Linked DNA regions of Coturnix japonica. Each later gene encodes a partner of the first gene's protein in a complex. Links are inferred from orthologs where the notes say so. Each region holds a gene or a part of one and is shown in the gene's direction. Other genes may lie near its edges.

Evidence for each region.
Region 2: the proteins of AGK (region 1) and TIMM10 are in contact, whole or in part, in a cryo-EM structure (PDB 7CGP), measured with the Homo sapiens proteins. The link is inferred for Coturnix japonica from reciprocal best matches to the Homo sapiens genes AGK and TIMM10. Residues at the interface, in NP_060708.1 of Homo sapiens: Phe49, Gly50, Asn51, Gln52, Leu53, Ile54, Pro55, Pro56, Val60, Ser91, Gly92, Met93, Asp94, Val95; in NP_036588.1 of Homo sapiens: Glu40, Glu42, Leu43, Ser44, Lys45, Gly46, Ser48, Arg53.

What each region holds. Positions count from the first base shown.
Region 1 is NC_029516.1:55,072,314-55,076,135, reverse strand, and holds part of AGK (acylglycerol kinase, mitochondrial), read left to right. Parts: intron 1-984; coding exon 985-1,064; intron 1,065-2,128; coding exon 2,129-2,204; intron 2,205-3,302; coding exon 3,303-3,395; intron 3,396-3,822. UniProt on the Homo sapiens protein: Lipid kinase that can phosphorylate both monoacylglycerol and diacylglycerol to form lysophosphatidic acid (LPA) and phosphatidic acid (PA), respectively. Does not phosphorylate sphingosine. Phosphorylates ceramide.
Region 2 is NC_029520.1:7,775,125-7,778,037, reverse strand, and holds TIMM10 (mitochondrial import inner membrane translocase subunit Tim10), read left to right. Parts: upstream 1-1,673; 5' UTR 1,674-1,741; coding exon 1,742-1,812; intron 1,813-1,984; coding exon 1,985-2,186; 3' UTR 2,187-2,273; downstream 2,274-2,913. Other genes in the region: SMTNL1 (smoothelin-like protein 1), read right to left, coding at 1-714.

The sequences.
Region 1 (3,822 bases):
AATAAAGAACCCATTTACAAAACTGAAAACCTCTTACACCTCCTTCTCTTGAATAAACCAGTGTCAGCTGACTTTGGACTTCACAGATGTGGGCTCTGGCTGATGTTACTGAGCTCTGGGCATGTATTAAATAGATGATGCTTATGTGGCAAACTGGTTAGTCTGTCAAGTGGGGATAGTTTCTTGTAAAGGCACATCACGTCTCTGCATTCATAAAGCATTGTTAAGCCTCATAGAATGGGTTTTTCATAATCGCAAAGTAGTGAGTTTCATCCTAGAAGTCCAGAAATGCAGTGCCTGGATTTATGCATTTAACAAGGAGCTGAAAAGGATATTGCCTTTCTGAAATTATACCTTCTTATCTATTCAATAATCATTTTTAATCTCCGGCCTTAAGTTGACATCGCAAAACTTAAAAGGATGTTGCATGATTATTTTTTCTATTACCTGTCTTGAAAATCAGAATTTGCTTTGGAAGTGCCCCCATATGTAACATAAATGTCCTCATCTATTACATAAAGAAACAGTCATGCCAATACTTGTACATTTTTATGAGCCTGTTCAGGTTGTTTAGAGCAGGCAAATGCATCACATTGCGCTCTTCCAAGTAAATAATCCTTTCTAACAGCTGTGATATGTCGTATCTTTCCCAATCCTGCTCCTCTAACAACTGTGGTAAAATACAGAATCATTCTTTTACCTGTTTTGGGAGTGAAACTACAGAACGGTTGGTTTGTTGCCATTTCTTTGACCATTTGTTTGCTCACAGCAACTTCCTTGGCGAAGTTGGAATGTTTCTATGGCAGAGGCTTCCTGAACAAAGTTGGTGAGAGAAAGTCCTTTTGAGTTCAAGCAGCTGATGATCACTAAAATCTACAGTGTTTTGTGCACCGTGTCCACCTTCTTCAAGATAAAAATTTTAATTAATTTGAGCTCCCTTACCAACGTTCTTAAACGGAACTGTGCTCTTTTTCTCTTGTTCAGGTTTTTGGCAACGAACTGATTCCTTCCAATATGCCTTTGAAGAAAGCAACAGTGTTCCTCAATCCAGCAGCTTGCAAAGGGTAAAATTCCCCCTCCCCTGCTCTCCTTTTTGTACATCTAAGTGCCATTCACTATAAAAACTGGCCAATTTTTGAGCTCGTTTTTGTCCCCCTCTGATGCCAAGCTGCTGCTGCTTAACTATGCCAAAGTATGTATCACTGAAGATGTTGGGATGATAAACAGAATTAGATGCTCAAGTTGAAAGAATGATTTCCAAATACTTTATCCTGCATTTGAGTCTTTGTCATTTCTCCACATCCCTTTGTATGTGGCATGTTTACCTCAAAAACCATAGAAAGTTGGCCTTGATTTCTTTCAGAGTTGACGTTAGCCTCAGTGATCTGACTTCTGTAGGAACATGTCCTTTAAAGGGATGTGCCCACAAACTTGGAGGCTAAATATGGGTTCAGAGCAAGACTCCTGGAAGAGGTCAGCTGCTGCTTTTGTATACTCATTAGTAAAAAAAAAGTTATCTTGGATATGATGCATGTCTGATTCTGCTCATCAGCTCGGCTTCTTCTCAGCTGCACCTCTGGGGGGTTCAGTACAGATACCATAGGGATGGCATATCTGTTATAGAAGTGTTTGGAATTGTGTGCCTTTACAACAAACACCTATGACTAAAAAATGCCCGATGTTAATAAATCAAAGCCTCCAACTTTAAATTTAAATCTCTCATATTTCTACTTCTAAGTAATTTATAGTTAACAAATCATTCTTTTACCATGGAGTTACAAGCATTAACGTGCACAAATCCTGTACCAGAAGAAGATCAGATAAGTTTTTCAGTAACTTTCTTTCTGGAGATCTTGTTTTGACTTTTGAAACTAATTTTGGAGGAAGCCAGATAACCTCCTGCATGTATTAAAACTGCAACAAAAAGCTGTCAGATCAGATAGGACTATGAAATATAATACATTTGAAACAAATGACAAATGGCTTTGGCTGGCAGGCTGAGTGACCGATAAACTGTATGCTCTGTTTTTAACTATGTTTCTTGTCATTATTCAGTTATTACTTTTCTTTTGTTTTTTTCTTTTGCCACCCGTCTGATGTCTGTTTTTCCTTTTTTATTTTCTTCTAGCAAAGCCAGGAACCTTTTTGAGAAGAATGCTGCTCCAATTTTGCACCTGTCTGGCTTGGATGTAAATATAGTTACGGTGAGAACTGATAGGTTCTGTGAATAGGAATATAGTGTCTTCTTTGCTTTCTTCTCTCGGTACTTGAGTGCTGGTTAGTGGTACGTGGCTGTTGCTGCTGAAATGGTCAGTTCTGTTTCATCTTGCAGAATGCAGAAGCGAGGAGCTTTGATGTGCAGTGGAACTCTTCAAGTTAATCAAAAATAAGTTTGTGTTTTTACCCTTAAAATTTGTCAGTGTATCCCCAGATAATTCATGGAAGCAGAACGCTGAGCTGTAAATGGCTTGACTTAGCTGAGGGGGTTTCTTTGGAAAAAGTAAACATAAAGGGATTCCTGTCTCTTTGCATGTTTTTGAGGCTGTAATATGTGGATTGTTTAGTACTCACTATGTCTTGCAATATATATATTTCTGTCTTGGAATATTTTTCTTAAGCTTCTGTTTAGTGTTAAGATGCTGTTTTATTAATGCCTCTCTTTGATCATTGAAAACACATAGTCCAGCTTAAGAGAAAAAGAATTAGAACTAATGCTTTGTAACTTCAGATCTGGAAAGGGAGTGAAACAGAGCTATGCCACTACTGGGTCTGAAATGTCCTTGCAAAAAGCATTCATTCTGCAGAAAGCAGTTTGCTACTTAGAAAGCGAGCATAGAACTTAATGCTAAACTGGTTTTTAGCAGCTTTCCTAGCCTGCTGTTGGGCAGCAGCCCTTGATATAGCTGTTTCTGTGCTTCAGGAGATGCACTCAATCACTTTGGCCTCTAAAGAGGCTTTTTTCTGCAAGAGTGGTTTGTTTGTGGGTTTATTTAAATGTAAAACTGTCTGCAAATTTGATTATTGCTGGATATTCTAAATCTGCTGAGTGAAAGCCTCATTAGGCCGTGTGTGTGTTTATTTTTTTACATTGTATTAGGCAAAGGACTGGTTTCTTAAGTTGAAGAAATTTAAGAGAATGTTATATAAGAGACGTACAGTACGATGTGCTTATGTGAAAATAACTGTTAAACAAAATGGTAGATTACTCTTTTTCTCTTCTGTATATTAAAAGCACACACATTTATGTATCTATCCTAGAAATAATCACCTGGGTTCTCATGTTTGAATTTCTGTTTCTTCAGACTGATTATGAAGGACAAGCAAAAAAACTGATGGAACTGATGGAAAACACAGATCTGATCATTATTGCAGGAGGAGATGGCACAGTACAAGAGGTATGGCTGCAGCTTTGTCCTGGTTTGCTGAGAATTGTAGCATGGCTGAGGGTGAGAAGATTGAGTCCACGTAACCTGGCTGCAACATCACAATAGTTGTTACTGGAGATTTGTCCATTGCCACATCCATATATTAAGTCACTATTATCATCTTGGAAGGATAAGAAAACTCTACGGGTTTTTGTTTGCCTAAAAGCGATGATGGGAATAAGAGTCTCTGGCATAACTGTGTTCCAGAATTTTACTCCACAATGAGAAAATTATTTGGGGAGAATTGTTTCCAACTTTTTCTTTCTGTGCAATGTAACTGTAATGGTTTAATTTTCAAAGTTCATTCCCAGCCTATCTATACTTCTGAAGATGAATGGAAGTTTTCCTAAACAGGAATCAAAAAATTTAATATTTATATGGGAGCGATAGTAAGCGT
Region 2 (2,913 bases), on another chromosome or scaffold:
TGCAGCCTGCCCTGCTGTGGGCTCTTTGACAGCATCCCCTGCTGCCTTAGCCTCACTCACAGCATCCTTTGCAGCTTCCCCCTTAGCCTCACTCACAGCATCCTTTGCAGCTTCCCCCTTAGCCTCACTCACAGCATCCTCTACAGTGTCCCCCTTAGCCTCACTCACAGCATCTTTTGCAGCCTCCCCCTTAGCCTCACTCACAGCATCCTTTACAGTGTCCCCCTTAGCCTCACTCTCAGCATCCTTTGCAGCCTCCCCTTTAGCTTCACCCACAGCATCCCTTGCATCCTCCCCCTTAGCCTCACTCCCAGCATCTCCTGCCATGCTGACCTCACTCACAGCATCCCCTACTGCCTCCCCCTTAGCCTCACTCCCACAGTTCTTCTCTGCTTCTACCTCGCCCCCAATCCTCGTATCCCCTGCACTCTCCCCCCCAGCGCCCCCTTCATCCCCCCCAGCCTCCCCCTGCCCTTCCTGTGCTGCACTTTCCCCGCTGTCCCCCCCCACCATCCCCTCTGTGGGCCCTGTTGATGTCTGTGTGAGGTCACCCAGGGCAGTGTCATTTGGGGTTGGGGCTCCATCGGTTGTTGTGGACTCCATGCTCCTACTGTGGGCTGCAGGGTTGTCACTGAAGTATCCACCGTGCCTTCCACCCCATGCAATCCCATTGCACTTCTGTCCCTCAGCGTTCCTCCTGCCCGCCCACCCCATCGGCCCCAACACAGCTCCCAGTCCCCATCCCATCCCCATTATTTATCCCTTCCCATCCACCTCGACCCAACCCCCACCCCCCACTCCTGTCCCCAAACCCCTCCCTCCCCCCTGCACACCCCAACCCAACCCATTCCCCATTCATGTTTTCCTCCTGCCCCCTCCCAGCTCCTCCAGCTCAGTCCCAACTCCACAACTCACTCCCTACCCCCAACCCCGACCCCCCTCCATCCCGTCCTATCCTCGTTTCTCACCCCAAACCCCCGACGTCCCCCCCAGCCCCCCGGCGCCCCATATCCCGGCTCACCGCTCTCCGCTCTCCCCGCGGCCGTGTGACCGCCGCAGGTGCCGCCTTCAGTCAGCGCCGACGGGGCGGGTCGGGGGCCGGAGAGGGGCACAGCGGGGAGGGGACGGGACGGGACGGGGGGGAGAGGAGGCCGGGCGGGGCCTGGGGATAGCGGGGACTGCGGGATGGAACGGGGACACAGGGACACGGACACGGGGGGACGCGTGCACGTGAGGACATGGGGGGACGTGGAGGCGATATCGGGGGGATATGAGGGTCACGAGTGGGCACGGAGACACGGCACATGGAGGAGATGGGTGATGCGTGGGACACGAGGGGACACGGGGGACACATATATGGGAGAGAAGGGTGACAAAGGGAACACAGAGTGCCCTGATCTGTGGGGGGACATAGGGGACACATTGACATAGAGGGACACGGGGCCATAGACCCGTAGCAGACACAGACACGAGGGGGCAGAGCCGTGAGGGCAGACCCACGGGGACACGCGGAGGTCACGCGTGGGCCGGGCCGGCCCCGATCCATCCCTGCCCTCCATCGCCTGCCCCCGCCCACCCCGCTCCGCACCGCTCCCCACGTCCCATCAGCGCTGAGAACGAGCCGTTGTCCCGCCCCCACCCGTCTCCTATTGACCGAGAGCGGCGGCGGGGCGGAGCGCCTGAGCGTGTGGGCGGAAGCGCGTCCCACGTGCATCCTGCGGGAGCGCGGTGCGGGAGCGACATGGACCCGCTGCGGGCACAGCAGCTGGCGGCAGAGCTGGAGGTGGACATGATGGCCGACATGTACAACCGGTGCGCGGCCTGACGGGACGGGCCGGGGCCTGGGGGTAGTGCCCGGGACAGGGAGGGGCTGGGAGAGCGAGAGGCGCGTGGGTGTCGCGGGTGGGGGCTGTGCGGGGGCTGTGCGGGTGCCGGGGGTGGGGGGTGCCGGGCAGAGCCGTGGGGTGACGGTGTTGTCCCTCAGGATGACGCAGGCGTGTCACCTCAAGTGCGTGCCCCCACACTACAAGGAGGCGGAGCTGTCGAAAGGCGAGAGCGTGTGCCTGGACCGCTGCGTGGCCAAGTACCTGGATGTGCACGAGCGGATGGGCAAGAAGCTGACGGAGCTGTCGCTGCAGGACGAGGAGCTCCTGAAGCGCATGCAGCAGGGCACGGGCACCGCCTGAGCCCTCCCTTCGGACTCCCCTTCCCATCGTACCAATAAACTGGAGGCTCTGGGCCAGCTGTGTGCTTCCCTCGGCCCCCCAAACCCGTCTGTGGTGCTGTGTCAGGGGGTGTCCCACTAACCTACTGGAGATGGGGGCACCCCGGCGTGTCTGCTGTGCCCACGTCAGCCTCGGGGATAGGCTGAAACCTTCCTTATCCCTTATGGGGTCAGGACAGGGCTGTGCCCCTCACTCTGCTTGCTGGGGGGACACTGGGGAGCACCTGGAGAAATGGCCACAAAGGGACACCTGCAGGGGGGCAGTGAGAAAACAGCACACCTGCATGGGGACAGGCACAGAGACATTTGGTATGGATGGCTGGAGAGGGACAGTGCCCTTTCCACACCTGGAAAAGGACCACACAGGGACACCCACGTGGGGACACTTAGGGGGGGACACCTGGATGGAAACAACCCCAGAGCCACACATACAGATGTGCACACATGTGTAGGGAAGACCTGCACAGGGTTACTAGATGGGAACACCCAGCCAGAGACACCCCAGCCTGGGGGTGGGCACTGTGTGTCCATCCACCCGTACACACACAGTGCGCCTGTGCCGGTGTGTCCCCGGGGCTGGCTGGAAGTGGGTCAGGCTGCGCGCACACTCACTGTCCTCACAGCTTGTGGGTCGCATTACGCCCCACCGTGAGCCTGTCGTGCAAGCAGTGGGTGTGCAAGGTGCTGCA